Coturnix japonica: one gene and its partner. The main gene of each other region encodes a partner of the protein of the gene in region 2 in a complex. Links are inferred from orthologs where the notes say so. Each region holds a gene or a part of one and is shown on either strand. Other genes may lie near its edges. The genes, in order: CHP1 and SLC9A3.

Evidence for each region.
Region 1: the proteins of SLC9A3 (region 2) and CHP1 are in contact, whole or in part, in a cryo-EM structure (PDB 7X2U), measured with the Homo sapiens proteins. The link is inferred for Coturnix japonica from reciprocal best matches to the Homo sapiens genes SLC9A3 and CHP1. Residues at the interface, in NP_004165.2 of Homo sapiens: Tyr396, Arg397, Met398, Gln400, Glu402, Arg474, Leu475, Asn476, Glu477, Leu479, His480, Gly481, Arg482, Ala483, Phe484, Asp485, His486, Ile487, Leu488, Ser489, Ala490, Ile491, Glu492, Asp493, Ile494, Ser495, Gly496, Gln497, Asn501, Arg504; in NP_009167.1 of Homo sapiens: Arg30, Leu31, Arg34, Leu38, Lys40, Glu49, Phe51, Gln52, Arg53, Ile54, Glu56, Leu57, Ala58, Ile59, Asn60, Pro61, Leu62, Asp64, Ile66, Phe70, Phe83, Leu87, Phe90, Leu115, Phe117, Ala118, Leu121, Tyr122, Leu135, Leu139.

What each region holds. Positions count from the first base shown.
Region 1 is NC_029520.1:21,957,862-21,966,994, reverse strand, and holds the end of CHP1 (calcineurin B homologous protein 1), read right to left. Parts: intron 7,445-9,133; coding exon 7,364-7,444; intron 6,508-7,363; coding exon 6,380-6,507; intron 5,620-6,379; coding exon 5,558-5,619; intron 4,499-5,557; coding exon 4,376-4,498; intron 3,148-4,375; coding exon 3,094-3,147; 3' UTR 1,288-3,093; downstream 1-1,287. UniProt on the Homo sapiens protein: Calcium-binding protein involved in different processes such as regulation of vesicular trafficking, plasma membrane Na(+)/H(+) exchanger and gene transcription. Involved in the constitutive exocytic membrane traffic.
Region 2 is NC_029517.1:72,715,892-72,726,482, forward strand, and holds the start of SLC9A3 (sodium/hydrogen exchanger 3), read right to left. Parts: upstream 6,506-10,591; 5' UTR 6,480-6,505; coding exon 6,284-6,479; intron 1-6,283. UniProt on the Homo sapiens protein: Plasma membrane Na(+)/H(+) antiporter. Exchanges intracellular H(+) ions for extracellular Na(+) in 1:1 stoichiometry, playing a key role in salt and fluid absorption and pH homeostasis.

The DNA of each region.
Region 1 (9,133 bases), on a different chromosome or scaffold from region 2:
TCGGGAAGCGGCGGAGCGACCGTGCCCGAAGCCGGCCCGGTAATAAGGGAGCGGGGCAGCGGGCGGCATCCGGGCGCGGCTCCGCGGCGGAACCCTCGTCCGCCCGCCTCACTCACCTGAGCGCGGCCGAGGCCGCGGGGCCGAGGCCGGCCCGGCCCCCCCGCCCACCGCTCTCACTCCGCCATCTTCCCCTCCTCACCGCGGACACACGGCGGGGGGATCGCGGCTCTCGGCGACGACGGGCCCGCCCCCGCGACCGCCAGCCTATTGGGTGCCGCTCCCAGGCATCCGCCGTCCACTTCGGATACTGATTGGTAGCCGGCCACGTCCATCACGGAGGCTCGCCGCCCGCCTCCGAGGCTGTGGTTTCCGATTGGTCCCCTCAGAGCACACGCCCGCACAGCGATTGGAGCCGGAGCGAGAGCGGGCCGGGCTGCGCGAATCCGCCGTTGACCTCCACGGGAACGTGAAGGAGCCGCTCGGGGAGGGAAGGGAAGGGAAGGAAGGGCGGCTGCAGCGCAACGGGCCGCGCCCGCGGGATGAGCCGGTCCGGCCGCGCTCTTCTTAACCTTCTCCTTAAGCTTTTATTTTATTGCAGGCATCTGCATGGATTCATTCGGAAGGATTTTAAATTAAAACACTGTATCTTCATTCTGTACAACTTGTACCACCTCTCAATTCACAACTCAGATACACACGCTGTAGAACACTGGATAAGACACTGAGCTGCCAAACTAGAGAATCGTGTTTTTGTATAGCACGGAAGCCTGAGGAAGGCTGCTAACAGCACTTATCAATCAGCTCCTTCTCATGAAGGAACATAAAAACCACCTCTTGCAAAACCAATGCCCATCTCTGAAACCGGCCTATAGACCAGCATCACTGATGGTGCAAAATTCCATAAGCTTAAGGTCACCTTCCTATTGCTTCACATCCCAGACAGCTTCTAATTGATCTAAACTGCTAACAGCAAAGTCACATTCTGCTTTTTTCCTTCCTCCCTCCCCACCCCCAAGGGAGAAAAACCACCAAAACACACACACACAAACCTTGTTTGGAACCATGGAGAAATGTCAAGCTCCTGTTCTTACCATCCATGTGCTCCTGTGGAGCTCCTGCTTTGCACTACTGCTTTCTTCCACTTTACCAGCAGAATGAAGGATTTTGGCAGCACTCTGAAAACAAACTAAGTTACAAGAATTCATCCATAAATCACACTAGCAATATTTCAGCAGTACTTAATTTTTCAAGCCTGAGGATGCCCAGTTACAATAAATACTTTGTTTTTTTTAACACAGTGGAAGGTTTATTTATGGATTGACAAATACAATATCCAGTCTCACTGGGACAATAAGGCACAACTGTAGGTTACAACTATACAGCCAGAAAATGAGAGCAAAACTTAATTTAAAGCAGATCGCAACACCTGCAACTTCAAAAAACACTTTAGCGTTATTACAACCCTGTTTAACATGACAGTCAAAACTTCCTCCCCATACAGAGGTTTTTGTTTCAGGACTTGTGCTGCACTCTGCAAAACAAAGGACAGCATTTTGCTGTGCAATTCCTTAAAACAAACCAGAAACCCTTCAGAGACCTGCGTGTTGTTTTATACAAGTAAATGATTCAAGGAACAAAAGAAAACAGAACGAACATCTGAGGGTACTTGGAGACTGGCAGTATTCATAGAAATATTAACAAACAACAAAGAAGCAGTTGTAACAACTGATTCTTCACTATAGAAGCTCTTAGGGCTTTTTGGTTTTATAGAAGGTCCTCCCAGACCACAGGCTGCTCCAGCTGAACTATGTGAGAACATTTACCATCTAACCACAGAAAAGTGCGCTGCTGTTGAACCTTCGGTACTTCTGACATCCTGTTTTGATCAGGAGCAAATCTATTAACTGCATTAAATGAAAGATAAATGGAAGGATAATTATCTTGTACTTGCAGAGAGATTTATCTAGAAATATATCCTGAAATATCACTAGTACTCAAACTTTTAATATGTACTTCCCAAGAGATATTTGCATGCCCGACCTTCCATAAATACATCTAGCACAATCAACACAAATCTAAAAGACCAGAACATCCATATAGGAAAGTGCAAATAATCACTAGAATTAAGAAAAAAAAAACTCAGTAATGTTTCATGACACTTACTGGGGCAGTGACAGAAAGACAAATCCCAGCTTTTGGCATGAATAGTTCTCTTGCATTCTGTATGCTGGTAAACAAGTTTACACCTTCAGAGGCAAAGCCACTCAAATGGGAAGAGGGATCTTAGAGTAAAGCAACCTGGAAAAGGTACTTCATGGTCCACTGGCTCATAGGAAAGAAACATTCCTGCAGCAAATGCAGAAACAATTTAAGTGACTTAGTGCGGAGTTCCTATTTCCTTTGAAGACACCACTGTGTCCATCACCACCACGCATTCTCCTACTGTGCCTATTCTCCTACTGTGAGAGCCAATCCCAAAAAGAAGAAAGCCTCCACACCACACCTCTGGACTGTTACCATGCATTCTGTGTTAGTTTTACAGTGACGCCATAAGAACAACATCTTTTTGTAGAAGTCAAGCTTTGAAAGCAGGGAACAAAACTTCCACATAAAGAGCCAACTAAGGAAGAAAGAGATGGCTGTGATGTAAAGCTGCTACTGGAAACCAAGGTGAAGAATTATCACCACATCTAGTATTTGAGCAGATGCTTGTCTCCAAAAAGCGTTTCAGAAGGCAGTTCTGTGGCATTTTCTTTTTTCCATTCTCAGATTCAGAGCTCAGAAGAATCAGTTTGTAGATTAAACTGCAGTACATAGGAAGGAGAAACATTTACTCGCAATGCAAAAGACGACAAGAATTAAAAATTAAAAAACAGAAGGATTTTTTTTAACACTCCTTCCCAAGTTGCATGGCAGCTATTTCTCTTAGTTCCTGATGCACAGGGAATGTTCACATTGGTAGAACAAACCAGTGAAGGGTTGGAGATGTATTTTATATGCACCAGTAACAACGCTCTGGGGAAAGGTGATAAGGAAATAACGAAGTTCTATTCATTGTATAGTAACGGTAGAAAGGAATGGGTTCTCCATCCATCAGTGAAGAAATCGAATACTCATTTTCTGCTCTACATCCACCTTCTCCAAAACCTGCAATAAAATCCAGAAATAGTTATTTTAGTTAATTTACACAAGATACTTCTTTCCTGCAAGTAAAAAGAAGATGGGCAGGAACATGGAGTATCTTCAATTTGGCATGACGTTCTTTCACCTAGAGACTGCAGTGTTTTGCTGCAGAAACTTCAGCTGTTTAAACCTGAAGAAGGATGTCAACTAAAACACAACTGATGCAGGACACCAATAGCCCAGAGAGAGCTGAACTATTCTCAAAAGTAGACTGTGTAAGAATGCCTGATGAGGAAACAGAAGAATGGACTAGAAAAAGGGGCACAAGCAGTTGAACTAAAAGAGCACAGCAGACTATTTTAAAGCTGAATTTAGAGTAAGTTAAGTTCTAAGAGATTCCTGGAGATCATTTAGTTCAGCTCTCTCAGACAGCAGGGCCAGCTAGATCAAGTCACTTAAGGCCTCAACCAGTTGTTTTAAATCTCTCAAATTAAGGGTGGGTTTTATATCTCTAGCACCCAATCCTAGTAAGCATTTCCCACATTGCAACTTGTTTGTGCTGCATCATCTCATCTTTGTCCACATCCAGGATGAGTCTAGTTCCTTCAATCCCACCCCAGTAGGTTAAAACCACTTTTTAGTGGTTTTTCCACTTTTTCCTGCTGACTATCTAATGGCTCCTTACTACCAGCTGTTTCTGACAACCATCAGAAGACAATTAACAGGACTACAGCTAGAAGTTTGTATATGAGTATATACTTAGTTGTGTAACAGATAAAATACTCAAGTGAAATTGAATCAACACAATTATAGCAGAATTACTTTGCTGTTAACTGCTCATCAGCCTATTTGTGTAGAAAGCAGCATTTGTAATAGTAATATTGTTTGGTGCATTAAAAATCTCTATTGCCTCATTATGAGCTGGTTTGGGGAGTATATTGCTATCTGATTTTTAAGCTCATCACTGTTACATTAAACACCTTACTCTGGGAGATAAGTTTCATTCAGGATCTGATGCCTGTAGTAGTCTTAGCAAGAGATGAACATTCTGCAGTATGTTCAGTGCTGTAGCTTATGCTAGAGAAACATATGGACTAATTATTTGCACAATAAGAGAATAGCTTAAAAAAAAGTCCTAATAAGCCAAATGCAGGTAGAAGAAATACTTGAATAATTTATTTTTCCACGTGCATTTAAGTCTGAATGATTTGTCTGTTTACTGCAGTTCCATTTAAGTAAGTAATTTACCAACCTTTACAAACTCTTCAAAGGAGATGGCACCATCCGCATCTGTATCAGCTTCCTGGATTGTCCTGTCAGCAATGCTGCCAAGCTGCTCATCTGAGATGTTGACACCAACCATCATCCGTAACACCTGCAATGTATACAAGTCCCTAGATTATTATTTTTAATCATGAGTGATATAAAACCACAAGTATTCTTAATGCTGTTTCTCGTGTATGCTGCTTTTAAGTCATGACCTAGACAACTCAAAGATTTCCATGGAAATACTTTTAGACATTTTGGGTAGATTACTATTATTATTGGTCCTTTATATAAAGGATTCCAAGAAAGAAAGCTTTCTTCTTCAGCCAGCTTTTTCACTAAGCAGCTGAGAGGCACAGAAGTAGTAAAAAAAAAAACAACAAATAAACAAACTTCCCAAACCAGGAAAGAATAACACTTTGTTCCAATGCTTCTAATTTTTTCCCACAAAAATATATGGATACTTGATTTGAGTGTCTACAGTTCAAAATGCTTCCTACAGGAATTTTCTAAGTATAAGCACAAGTGATAGCAGCCAATACCTCCTAACATTTAGTAAAGCATCTTCTGCACAGATTGAAAGTGGGCAGTTTCAGTCAAAATCAAAACCTTGTCCTACATAAAGAACCACAAATTGCCATGTCTACTTCCCAGGATTAGTAGTATGCAATTACTCTAAGCTCAAGCTTAGCTTAAATACATACAGCCACTGATGAACTCTGATTATCTCTGCTGGTCTTCACTGCATTTACACCAAGTTTTATTCTACTTTGTGAGGACAAGGACAACCAGAATGACTGCATTCACCCCAGCAACATCCCCTAAGCTAAAAACACCCTTGAAGATGCTCTTAAGTGGCTCTAGTTTCTTTGTTGGGTTTTTAAGCATCCTAACCAAGAAGACCTTCCTTTTACGAATCATTTCTAGTAAGATCTTACTGAGCCTAACACTGTAGTTTAAAACCAAATCTAGAATCCCTGGTCTGATAAAACAATCTGGGCTACCAAATGAGGGTAAGGTTTCATATATCTCTGGTTTAAAGCTTTAGGTAACAAATAGACACAAATTCCTGCAAGGATTTCATTAAGATTGTTACCAACACCCCTCTTCATCCCAAACGGCACGAAATGTCAGATGATGGAATCTAAAGTAGTCTCCAGTTATTTACCTGAAGCAGCTCATCCCTGGAAATCTTGCCATCTTTATCTAGATCATATAACCGAAAAGCAACTGCAGGGAGAGAAATATAGTACTAAATTCAAGCATCATTGTTTTTCTTTCTGACAATTACCTATAAAACTAATAATAGCTCATTATAAATCATTTAAGATAATTAAGGTAGAATTTTGACTTGCTATACAACTCATGTTCTGTTCATGAAAAGTTATTACCACATCCAGGAATATTATTGCCAAGAAGTGAAAAACATTAAGTACATCCTCAAGTACTCAAAGTTTCAGAAGTATTCTACCTGCAGAGTTACTTCTTTAAAGCCCTGAGCCACAGAGGCTCTAAGATATAGTCAGTGCTTTAACTTCAGAGCCAGCCTTTTATTTAACACTTGTTCACTACCTACAGCTATACTTCAGCTGAAATTAACAACTTTTAAGTGCTCCAGGAAGCACTGCCTAGTGCATTCAGTAAGCACTATATTACACAGAAGACTGGAGAAAGAAAAAGAAAAGCCCATTCATATAAAAAACATGGCTTCTAAATATGAAATAACGTTGCAAACCATTTTTAAACACTTGTTATGAAGCCTTCAGGAAAAGACATATGAACTTAAGATTCAAACAATTCTATCAAATTTTACACAAATATAGGTTGACATTCTGGACAGGTAAGAATACAAGTTCATGTAAAAACCAGGTTATTATAAGATATCATTCCACACAGAAAGACCGTGTAGTAAATACTTAACACCTCTGCTCTCTTCTCAGAGAAAGAAAAGAATATGAATTGCTTCTAATGGAAGGTTCACATTTCTTACAGTGGAGCTTGCTATTTCGGCTATTCAGGGGTTCCGATCCATTCTGGTCTTTGCTCTTTTCGTTATCTTCTATGGGCCGGAAGTGGGCTAGTGTCTTCATGAATCCACGGAAATTCACTTGGTCCTCTCTGCACAAGCATTTTAGACAGTTAGCTCCAGCACAGTTCACACGGGCTTTTTATTTCAATAAAAAACAGTAAGAATGTCTCAAGTGTCCACACCATGAGAATTCTTAATTCCTATCTCTCCAGGGTTTAGCAACCTGTGACTAAAACCAGCTCTCTGCAGCTGTAACCTGGGATCATACTTCTGCAAAGATTGAAGTGTGATATATGAGGGGAAAAAAACTGCAAGAAGTCTTGTTACAGGCTGCTCCCCTCTTTGCCTATAAATTTAAATTCAAGTTTTCACCCTTTGCCCTTGCCTAAGTTATCCTGCAACTACACCCAAGTCCAGAAGTGTATCTTACTGATCTGAATCCTGGCCTACAACACTGAAAATCTCACTGCCTCTTTGGATTCAAGTTGACAGTGTCATAAGATACAGCTTCAATATGATCCAAATTAGAAAGCAGAAGTTGATCTGTTAACAAAGGCACACTTAGAAGGCAAAAAAGCAAAGAAAAATTGAATTTGTTAACTGCAACACTACTTTACATAAGGTATTACTGCTACAAGTTTGCTTTAAGAATCAAAGTCCATGCCCTTGACCCTCTTAAAAAGCAGCATAGCAAGAATGGACAACAGTGACACACAAGCAAATCTCATCACTCAAAGGATATAAAACTCCTGTGAGAGAAGAGTCTCTTATTATGTAATGAAAGTGTACAGAGGAAACAACAAACCAACATGACTAGCAGAAGTCTGAGATGTTCAGTTATCACTGAATTCAAATTCTGTGCTTTAATCATCTCTTTTCTCGTATTAGAGCTCCTGACAAACTACATTTTATGACTATTCACTAATTCAGGCGGTTGGAACTTACCCTTCTGAAAAAAAGGCATTGATAATTCGGTCTCCCAGAGGATTGATGGCAAGCTCTGGAATCCGCTGGAAGTCTTCACGGCTAAGCAAAGCAAGAACACAACACATCTGTATAAACAAGTATGCAAGTCACAGGAGAAAAAACTGCTTCATAAGAATTGAGATGCTAACACTATTTGTGCTAGACACAACCCTAGAAACGGTGCTCACTAGTTCTCAGTTTAAGGAAGGAAAACTTCTGAAACAGTTTTGAAGTAAACTTCTTAAACCACATATTTTGGAGCTACATCTGACAATGATTTCTCCAGACTAGTTCACTTCAGATTCACCAATTCATCACCAATATTCACCGCACTTGTAAGCCATTCTCCCTCCTGCTCATAATTATATATAAGCACATAGCTAGTATACACATAGCTATGCTTATATTGTGTCAACTGTTCTGAACTAGAAGACAAAAGCTATGCTGATCTAAAATAATGTATTCATGTCAGTATGATCATGAAAACAGGGTCCATTTTATCATTAAAGTTGCCCTGTCAATTTTTCTTCCAGCCTAACAATATCTCCTTGACAGGAAAGTGGAGTAATCCCATTGTGGTCAAGGCAGACTCATTAAGCAATTCTCTGTGAATACCTCCAGAATCAAAGGTTTTTTCACTACAATAAAGCACAGCAGTTCATTAGTAGAAGATACATTTCATGGTCATCTGGGTTTTAAAGTACAATAACAGCAACACACTAAGGCTACAAAAACAAAACCCACAAAATTGGCCTCCAAATCCCAGCCTATTCCGTATTAAGTATACTGGCCTCTTTAATAACAGCATGATCTTAAAAACAGGAGGAAGGTCAGAGAAAGATCAAGCAAGACGTTCTGACTGCAAATGAACTCTAAAGTATTCCTAGTACTTAGTTACACCACAGCACTGTTAGTCCCAATTATAGTACGTCTGTTACAACATGGCTAAAACTGTTTGACCTTCTAACAGAATGACCTGATCATATTTTTAAGCCTACATCTGCTCTGACCAGGTATTATTTTTTAATTGGCAAAGTCACCATCTGCATAACATAATCAACTAGCTACCCTACCCTTCAGGACTGCTACCTTTTCAAGCTATAGCTGAAGGGTAGAGCATGCATTAATGACCCAGGTAGGAGGAGCAGTGATGTGGGAAATGTGCACTCTAGAAACAATATTTCAGCAACACGCTTCAATGCTAAAATTTAGGATCTAAAAGCAGCAACTGCTCTCAGATTCCATTCAAGATAAAAATCTCAACACTTAGAATTTTTCTACTTGCACCTCACTGTTTCTTAGTATCAAGCCTAAATTAACACTCAGCATTCCAACCTCCAGTTCCACTTTATAGCAGATTAACAATTAACCACAAATAACTCCCCAGGTTTCAAATCTATTTGTCCTGTCATTACCAGGATTGCAGTAGACCATTTTTGCTTGTAAAGAGCACATTACTGAGTGAGTGGTTATAATTGAAATAGCTCTAACAGCCATAAAAGTAAATGAATGCATGATGCAAGTTATTCTCCACTTCATAAAGGAAAACTTCCTGCGGTCATTTGGGACCAGCTTCCTGTGGCTGAGGCTGGAGCTTACAAGAAATCAGCTGCCCTCTGCTTCTGTTTTGGTGACACAGCAACATGCTCTTCTCACATGGCTATTTCCAGGGCCCAGATGCCACTAAACCCTTGCTTAAACATAACATGCAGAGCAACCTTTAGCTTCATGTTATTATGGAGACTGAAT
Region 2 (10,591 bases):
CCCATTCCAGTTTCCTCTGAGATCACAATAAAGCACTAAATTCAGTGCAAATATATATTTTTCCTTGCTATCCTTATCAGGATACACGGGAAGGCAGACATGTCCAGTCTTCCTAGTCACAGTGTGAAATAATTTCTCATCACTTGCTAATGAAAACAGTTTTTAAAGAACACTGTAATTATGACAGAATTTGTGCTTGTACTGCATGGTCCAGTAATACCTTCACCATCCAATTCTCTCACTCCATTTTCATTTAAATACTTTCAATAAAGTTCTAGTAATCGGTCTTCAACATGTCTTCTTAAAAATAGTATGTACAAGAGATGGACACAGAGAATTGCCAACATAAGATCTATTCTCACATTTTTACTGTAATTAAAACAATACCATAAATGAGTTTCTCTAAGTAGCCGACACTTTTTATTATTCCTAAAATGTCAGGAGAAATTTGGAGTCAAATGAAATTTTGTTTGCTTTGGAGGGAAAGGTACTGGTTTCTTTAAAGAAATAAAATTTTGCTTGAAGAGTCAAAAATAGGAGGATTGTTACATATGCATTTCCCTGTTTCTTTCCTAGCCCATCCCAACATGCTTAACATTCTCCTCAAGAGTGCTGGTGTTAACATACTCCTTTCTCAGATAAGAGAGACAATATGAAGTGTCCTAGGCATACAGAAACTGGAGTCATTTCTGAGCATCTCAGATCACTTTTAAAGTCTAGAGAAAAAAAGGAAAACTAAAACATGATGAAAATAAACCCCATAAAGACTTCATTCACTGACTTTTTGTTTTACTTTTCAAAGAATCCCTATATTCCAGGTCAATACATTGTTTACTTCCACGTGAAATAATCTTGACATCTTGAAGTCAGGGTAGTTTGCTGACTGTATTTCAGTAAAATAAACTGATTGTAACATCTCTACTGATACACAGTGGGAACCCTGTAAGCTTAAAAACACAGTGCACTTCACAGCTCGTTTTATCTTGGGTTCTTCAGAACTGATGGACCCAACAAGGCTGCGAAACAGCATTTGAGGGCTCTGTGACATTCTTAGACTCAGAATAAACTACACTGACAAAAACAGATGGCAAAAGTTTGACTTGCAGATACTGCAAAGGTTACGTACCATTCTTCCTCATTCCTTTTCACAGTCACATACTCTCCTGCCATTTCTTACACTTCCTTATCTGATCCACACTGGGCAAATCAAGGAGGCTATATGAGTAGAAGAAAACAAACTAAAATATAAAGTGTGAATGGGATGTGAGAGACAGCTACACCAAGACACAAGCAATACAGAAGGTTTCTAGAGTGCTTTGAATAGTAGCTTCCTTCTTCAAGTGACACAAAATCCAATGAGAGTTGTTCTGCTGGGTCTTTAACAAGGGGCTTTTGGGGAATATAAAGGTCAAAGGCATCCTTTGTTACAGTGACTGTGAGATGGCAGAGTTCAGGATACCTTGGGGAAAAAGGACTGTGAGAAACAAATTCATAATCCCAGGCTTGAGGAGAGTACGAAGAGCACTGTTAAAGGATTTGCTTAGAAGAGTCTCATGGGATGTTCTGGAGTGAAGAGAAATGGAAGAAATATGATTAGTCTCCAAGGATCTCCTCTAAACTCAGAAGAAAGTTATTCCAGCAAAGAGAAAGACAGGCACAAATGTCAGGAGACCTGTATGAGTCAGCAAAACAAAAGCTGAACACAAGAAAAATGTAAACGGAGGGTGGAAATAAGGACAGGTAACCTGTGAGACATACACATGTTGAAGAATACAGTGATGAAGTTAGGAAAACTGAAGCCCAGATGGAATTGAATCTGGCCACAGATGTTAAAGGCAACAAGAAGGGCTTCTGTAAATAAACCAGTGACAGAAAGAAGACTAGAGAAAACATAAGCCCACTGAATAAGATGAGGGTTGTGGTTACAGAGGACAGGGAAAAAGCTGACGTGCTGAATGCCTTCTTTGCCTCAGTTCTTACTAGCAAGACCGGCCTTCAGGAATCCCAGGTTCCAAAGACCTGAGAGATAATATGGAGCAAATAAGATATACTGTTGGTGGAAAAGGATCATGCCAGAGAGTACTTAAGCAAACTGAACATACCCAAGGCCATGCATGCTGATGGAATTCACCCAAGAGTAATGAAGAAGTTGGCAGATGTCATTGTAAGGCCACTTTATCTCTCAGAAGGGTACTGCTATTTGTGTAGACATGGGACAGAGTGATGAAGAAAAATGGTATTTTAACAGTAGCAATGAGCTTAAGCTGGCCTTACTGAGATAATTTACCTTGTGCAGGCCTGTAATGATTAAATCTGTAAATTGTAAGGTCAGTAGTCTAGGTAGCAAAAATAAGGCAGTAAATGTTACTCAGACTTCAGTAATGAGCCTCATTGTCACTGATTACATTGTCACTACAAAAACAAACAGACCAACAACAACAAAAAAGTGCTTTGTAGTTTTTTTAGTGCAAAGCAATTAGCTGTTGTTTGAGGAAACATTAAGGTAGTCAACAAGATGTAAAACACATATAAAAATCTTACAAGTTACCCACATGTTAATGAAAATATAAAAACACTCTCTGCATCCTGGGATTTTGAACAAGAGCAGCACATATAAAGCAGCATGCAGTGGGTATCTTCAGGTAAAAAACATACTACCCCTGTTTTTTGTTTGTTGGTTGGTTGGTTTTGTTTTGTTTGTTTTTGTTTTTTGAACAATAGCTATGTTTTAAGATACATTCTCAGAAAAGAAAAAAAAAAAAGAAAAAAAGAAGAAGAAAAAGAAGAAAAAGAAAGAAAAAAACAACTAACTGGACTTGTATACAATGTTCTTAGATGAAACTTGAATACTGTGTCCAATTCTGGGCTCTACAAGTTCAAAGAAGACAGAGATCTTCTAAACAGAGTCCAGAAGAGGATCACAAGGATGATGGCCTGGAGCATCTCACATATGAGGAAAGGCTGAGAGACCCGGGTCTCTTCAACCTGGAGAAGGCTGAAAGGCATCTCATCATTGTTTATAATCTAAAGCGCAGGAGTCAAGTTGATAGGGACAGGTTTTCAGTGGCATGCAACAATGGAACAAGGGGCAATGGGCAGAAACTGGAGCAAGGGAAGTTCCATACAAACACAAGGAAGAACTTCTTTACTATGAAAGTGACAAAGCACTGGAAAAAGCTGCCCAGAGAAGTTGCAAAGTCTCCTTCTCTGGAGATACTTAAGACCTGTTTGGACACTTCTCTGCAACCTGGTGTAGGGAACCTGCTATGTCAGGGGAGTTGTACTTTATGATCTCCATAGGCTCCTTCCAAGCCCTACAATTCTGTGATTGTGTGATTGTGTGATTTTATCTCCTAAGCTTATTATTCCTTGTCTTCTGCCTACTTCCAGAGCTCTTTTTCTCCCACCTACTTTTGGCTTTTTCTACAACAGACTTTGCTCCCACTGTTTGTACATTCTATATGTATATTTATTAAATGATTGTTTTCAAGTTGTGACCCATTAAAGGCATATAAAGAAATAGGGAGTGCATGGCAAGGTGAACTTACTTAGTGACATAGTCTAACTGTAAATAACAAGCATGTATGTATGTGTTCATGGTTTTGTTCTGTTTTTGTTTTTGTGTGTGTGTGTTTTTTTGGGTTTTTTTTTTTTTGTTTTGTTTTTTAATCAGAATTACTTGTTCAGTTTGAACAACTGAGGTACCAGAAAGTCGACACCTAGCGGAAGAAGTCTACCAGGAGGGTTCTCAGATGTACCTGATGTACTTTCTTCACACAGATAAGATGTTTTTAAGGCTTAGCTTTACACTTATGAGTAGTTTATTAGCCTAATCCCATAAGGATACTCGTGTAGTGATAAGAAAGCATATCAAAAGAGGAAATAAAGATAATTAGATGGAACACTGTGAACCTTAGAATAAAGAGCTGGAAGACTTCAAATAAAGAGCGTCACGTCAAATCACTTATGAAATGTGAAACAGTAGACTGAGATGCATCAAATGCATCAATATTAGACACAGACTGAGTATCTTATAGTTCATGAAAGCCAGCTGTCTGAAAACTCTTATTCCACAGTTTTGTGCCAATACTTAGAGGTGATCTTGCATGTATAAAAATCACTCTGCCCCCCTCTCTAAAAAATCCAGAACAAAATAATCATTGGGAACATATATTCCTCTGCAGCTATCCATTGCTTCTTAAGAGACAACATACAGGACAGTTCAAGATTGCAATTATAAATGTGAGAGGAGTCTGAAGTTTGAGAGCTTAGGAAATGATGGAATTGATGATAGACACTCTCTTCTTACTAGTAAGTGATGTGCTCTGTGCAGCTATGAAATAAGTGCAAATAATTTTAGAATTGAACAGTGGTATTCAGCTTCCAAACTCCAAAAATAAAATATCTGTAGATATACTACATAGTTCACAGTAAAATGTCTCATCTTAATTCAAGACAATCTTATTTCAAGCCTTGGCATTTTGAATATAGGACAAGACCTGTGATCTGCACTGAGTTTCTGCCACAGCACAGATATGGTTGTTACCACTAATATTCTGAATAACGCTGGTACATATGGAAAACAAAGTCTTAATAACACAGAAAGTTAATACTTACTTAGAAAAGAATGTCAAAAAGAAGGTTCAGACAAGCAGTCTATTTATTAAAATTAGTAAGCATAAATTTACAGAGGCTCAACATTGTCACTGCTTTTTTCACCATATCTTGTTTCTCCAGTTTTCTACTCTATATAACTCATCAATATAAGTCAATTAAATCAAAACTGCATTTTTTATATATACTCTAGATAATGCAGCTACCATCTGAAATACTTGCAGTTCAACACTGATTTCGTTGACAATATTTAGCTTATGGTTCCATGAGCAAGCATCTAAGTTTAGACACTGCTGAAAACCACTTAACAATATAACCTTTGCATAACCAGTCTCCTCCCTTTTAGAAAAGTATCATTTGGATTTATTTGAATGTGAAGGCAGTACTTTCTGCTCACCCTTAGTGCATTTAGCTTATGTACAACTAAATGCACGATCTGTCTGTTTAGACCTTTCATTTGGTGTAACGTGCAAAACCCATGGTGTAAGATACTGGCATCACAAATCAGTATTATCAGTACAAATGTAGGATATTAGTATGATTTTTAGCTGGTCACGCAATCAAATTGAAAATGACATGGTATCAGCCAAACTGACAGTGTTCTCATTTTAGATCCAAAAGTTAAAAGTATCCAGTGGAATGGCATCAAACTGATTCAGGTAAAATTCAGACTGGATAGTAGAAAAAGGATATTCATAAGCAACTAATTGGGCACTGGAACAGGCTACCCAGAGGAGTGCTTATGACACCAAGCCTTCTGAAGTTCAAGAAATGTTTTGTGCAATACTCTCAGATGTAGGGTTTAAATTTTAGATAGTCCTGTGTGGAGCCAGGAGCTGGGCATGATAATCCTTGTGGATCGCTTTCAATACCAGATATTCTATGATACTACAGTTTTAATAGAAAATAATAGCATCATGGAAATAACATACATTCCAAATAAGCATGCACTTTTCTAGTTCAACAAAGATTGCTTTTGGAGGTGTTATAAGGTTCAGAAAACAAGAACTAGAGTATTCATGTGTATTTACACATACTGCATTCAACATAGATTAAGTAATTGTGTTTCATTAGTTCTCTTTTCTTAAAGAAAATTCTGTGTGCTCTGAAGTTTGTGAATTTTCAGCTGCAACAAATGATCTGAAAATGTTACCCTTCCCTGTAAAATATTTTTTCTTATTTTCTTTCCCTAATTCAACCATGCTTTGCAAAGCAGAGATTGCTAAGTTCATAAATTGGTTTTATTGTGTTTATTTGTGTTGATGGTAGCTAATAAATCTATCAGTTATATTTAAAAGGACAGCGTATTGTCAGTTGGAATGGGCACTCTATCAGCAATAAGGCTTAATCTTTGTTTCAAGTCTGTAAAAAGTTTTTCCTGAGAACAACTGTAATGAAGGGCTTCAAGAAATGCCTTGTATATGTAAGGAGTCGGATACAAAAGCTAGTCTTAGGTGTTGAAAATGAACTACTTAACTCCCTCAGGCAGGTGAAAATCACACTGCTAAGCGCTATGTAAGGCAGTATTATGAAATCAGGACAGAGTACAGTAGAACCCCTGAAAACGGGTCAGTGGACTTCTGATAAGCTCTCTTCATTTATGCTGGATGTGAGAAGGGAAAAAAAGGAAGGGGAAGGAAGAGGACATAATATATAACTCGGGACTCACCAATTTTGGCCAAGCTGGCCACAAGTATCCAGAGTGTAATGACATAAGGGTCCTTTACATGATCCCATTTGAAAGAGACGATCTCAAAGCTCTGAGGATGGCTGTTATTTGTATGGCTTCCCGAGCTTCTCTGTCCTAGCGCTGCTGGGAGATCCATCAGTCCCAGGAGGAACCCCATTCTAGAGACCTGTCTCATCTCCAAGTCACACAACAGAAGCCTGTTTCCCCTTCCCGGAGAAATCCCTCCTCTTCGGAGGTCCTTGGGGGAGAGGTCCTCGTCTCCTCGCAGAGACGCTATCGTAGAGACTGTGGAACTGGGGGCAGCGGTGAGTTCTGCAGGCAGCAGAGTGGGTCCTGTCCCGGAACCGTCGGCACGGCTGCACGGGCCGACCCAGGTGCTTCTCTGCAAGCTGTGATCAAGAAAGGGTCAGGGACTCTGAACATAAGCAGATGCTGCGAGCTGAGTTCCTGCCGCTTTCCCGCACCTGCCTTTATCTAGCTGTTCCAGATCGGTCGGAGGCGGAGCTTTTGTGACTGCGGAGCCAGCGGTGCTGCCCCTAGCTGAGCACCTTTCGGGATCAGCAAAGAGTTCCGCCGAGGCGGCAACAGAAGGTTGTGGGTTGTGCCAACCGTCCCGGCTCGGCTCCGAACACATGGGGGTTGGAAAGAAGTGACCTTATGCTCTTGGTGCTAGGGGCCAAGGCTGGGGTGCTTCCGCACGCACGTCCCAGGCGGAGCCCAGGATCCATGCTCAAGTCGGAGTTGGATGAGGAAATTCGTCCGGGTGCGTTTGAGGCAAACGGGTCAGACCCAGTACTATAGTACTGACGAAGGGAGTGCGTTTTTTTTCTGCTCTTCAGCTTCAAATCGCGTTCGGATCTGGTTGGCTGAGCTTTCACTTCTGTCCACCAGGGAGCACCTCTGCCAGCAGTGCTCGAGGAAATTACACCAGCAAGAAAGGTTTGACTTTCTGTTTAGATTTGCTTGCAGCTCTTTGATGAGGAGTGCTGTATTAAACTACTCTTTGTCTTATTTTCCTGTTCCTTTTTTATTTGTTACCACATGAAATATTTTAGAAGCTTGCTGCCTTTCCCCAAAGTCAAGACAGCGAAGCAGCATGGTCTCAGCAAACTGCACCTTTCTACACACTGCAGCAACATCTCTACCCTCTGTTCCATGCTTTGAAGCATTCCAACTGCTACATGCTGTCCACAACTCAAGTTACCTATTCAGGAAAAAGATTATCTGTTTCACTTACGTAACAAAAAGTTTGGTCAAGAGATCACAAAAGAACAGGATAAGGTCTCCTTTAAAATGCTCAGAAATGAAAGAAATAACTTTGATTATTTGAAACATTTGAGAGAAAAGCTATGTACTTTCTGGAAATTCAAATGAGTTATTATAAAGCCCTCTATAAATCAATTAACTGGTAAATCTAAAACAATTTGCATGGGATGTCATTGTTACAAAGGGGGTCTTTCACTATTACATAATCTAATTTAGCCAGGGAAGTCAAGGAATGAAGATTTTATATATTAATTCACTGAAGATTTGCTTATTATTACTCCAAAGCAGTGCATTGGGCCCTCTTCAAACAATGAAGCGTATTACTGTTTCTCTTACCTTGCTTCTTCATTACTTAAAAGAAAGGAAATCATGTAGGATTTTTTTTAGCCTGGGAAACAATCTGAAGCTAGAATATGCAATATATTTAGGAAGCATGGCTGACAGTAAAATATTTTCTTTACATTTAGGATATATTATAGTCAAAGACCTGAAGAATAATTCCATATCTAACAACTAAAATCCTACCTATATTGTTTTTATTTTTCTAAGTGTCAGTTAGATACCCAAATGCCCTTTAGAATCTGGGCCCATGTTTTCTCAAAGGTTCTACAAAGGGCCCTGATGCACTGCCATTGTAGAAACAGAACTAGAATTGGAAGTATGTAAGTCTATAACTGTTGCTGAGACCTGTGGATAGTAGTAGTTCCTAATTGTTAATGCAAATTCTAGTGGTTGATATTAGAAGAACAATGAACAATCTGTCAACACTGCTTTTATTATCTCAGTGTATTCCACATTCTACCATACTACAGTTAATCACATAATTCTAGCAGCAGCGCAGCACAAATGTACAAATGCTGTAGTGTTCCATCTTATAAATGTAATTCTTCCCAAATCTAGTCCCACAAAATAAGAAATGGTTTAGAAACAATCCTTATTATTGAAAATAAATAAATAAATAAATAAATGAAAATCTTTTCCACAGTTTATTTTAAAAAAAAACAAAAACAAAAACAAAAACAAAAAAAACCCCTGACATTTCACTTGAAACAGCTGCAGCCAAAATCATGTCATCATTGCCCTTAGGTAAAGGACAGTTCATGACAGTAGTGGTGGCTCAGTAACTAAGTTAAATCAGGGTTCTGATAATCCTGGTGGAGATAAAGCAGTAGTAGCAAACAGGAAAAATTATGGAAATACTGTCTTCACACAGACAAGGTAGTGTTAATCTGCTCATCAGTTGCCAGTATAATACCCAGTGGTATTTTTACAATTTGTAATAATCCTTGAAAACCTTTAGTCTAAACTATCACAGAAGTACATAATTTTGCTTGCTATAAAATCTTTACAAAACATTGTCTACAACACAGTTAAAACACAAACATTGTATTTTTTTAGCAATAAGCTCATGATTCAAAGTGTAATTGTGAAATTTGTCCTATCATCCAATGCCTCCAGGATATTTTCTAGATGTTTGGATATCAAATTGCTGTGTATATCAGAATTATTGTGCAATTCATTAGAATGTTAGAGTAATACAGAGCACACAGAGAAAGGAACCAGTAATTATGGATCATCTGTAGGTACTTGAATAAATGCTAAAACAACAGTCCATATGTATACCTATGTGAGAATGTATACTTTACATTTACTTATTTGTTCACAGATTCCTTTTTTTTTTTTTTTTTTAAGTTTTTTTTTTCTTTTTTCATCTCACAGTGCAATGAAAACAAACCCTTGTAGAATTTTTTAAGTTTCTGTGTGAAATCCCTTAAGCAGTTTCATAGAATCATAGAATCACAGAATGGCCTGGGTTGAGAAGGACCACAATGATCATCAAGTTTCAACCCCCCTGCCATGGGCAGCGTCACCAACCACTAGACTAGGCTGACCAGAGCCACATCCAGCCTGGCCTTGAATGCCTCCAGGGATGGGGCATCCACAGCCTCCTTGGGCAGCCTGTTCTGGTGTGTCACCAGCCTCTGTGTTAAAACCTTCCACCTAATATTTAACCTAAACCTCCCCTGTCTCAGTTTAAATCCATTCCCCCTTGTCCTATCACTATCCACTCTCGTAAACAGTCATTCCCCCTCTTGTTTATATGCTCCCTTCAAGTATTGGAAGGCAGCAATGAGGTCTCCCCGGAGCCTTTTCTTCTCTCCAAGATAAACAAGCCCAGTTCCCTCAACCTCTCCTAGTAAGAGAGGTGCTCCAGCCTTCTGATCATCTTAGTAGCCCACCTCTGGACCCATTCTAAGAGCTGAGCTCCATGTCCTTCCTGTAATGGGAGCTGCAGGCCTGGATGCAGTACTCCAGATGGGGCCTCACAAGAGCTGAGTAGAGGGGGACAATCACCTCCCTCTCCCTGCTGGCCACCCCTTTTTTAATGGGGCCCAGAATACAGCTGGCCTTCTGGGCTGCAAGCACACACTGCTGGCTCATGTCCAGCTTCTCATCCACCAGGACCCCAAGTCCTTCTCTGCAGGGTTACTCTCAAGGAGATCTTCCCCCAGTCTGTAAAAATACCTGGAACTGCCCTGGCCCATGTGCAGCACCCTGCACTTGGTGTTATTGAACCTTATTAGGTTTTAATGGGCCCACTTCTCTTATCTGGTCCCTCTGGATGGCTTCCCTTTCTTCCAGTGTATTGACTGCACCACTCAGCTTGTGGCATCTGCAAACTTGCTGTTGGTGCACTCGATGCCATTGTCTATGTCATTTGTGAAGATGTTGAAGAGTGCCGGTCCCAAGACCAAGACCTGAGGGACACCGCTTGTGACCGGCCTTCACTCTGATGCAGAACCATTAATCACAACTCTTTGGCTGTGTCCAGCCAACCAATCCTTAGTCCACCAAACAGTCCATCCTTCAAATCCATACCTCTTTAGACAGAAGGATGTGGTGAGGGACCACGTTAAAGGCCATGTAGAAGTCCAGGAAGATGGCATCTGTTGTTTCCTGTGGTTTCATTCTATATCAGAAAAAAAAAAGCCCTACCTGGAGTACTGTTTGTAATAAACA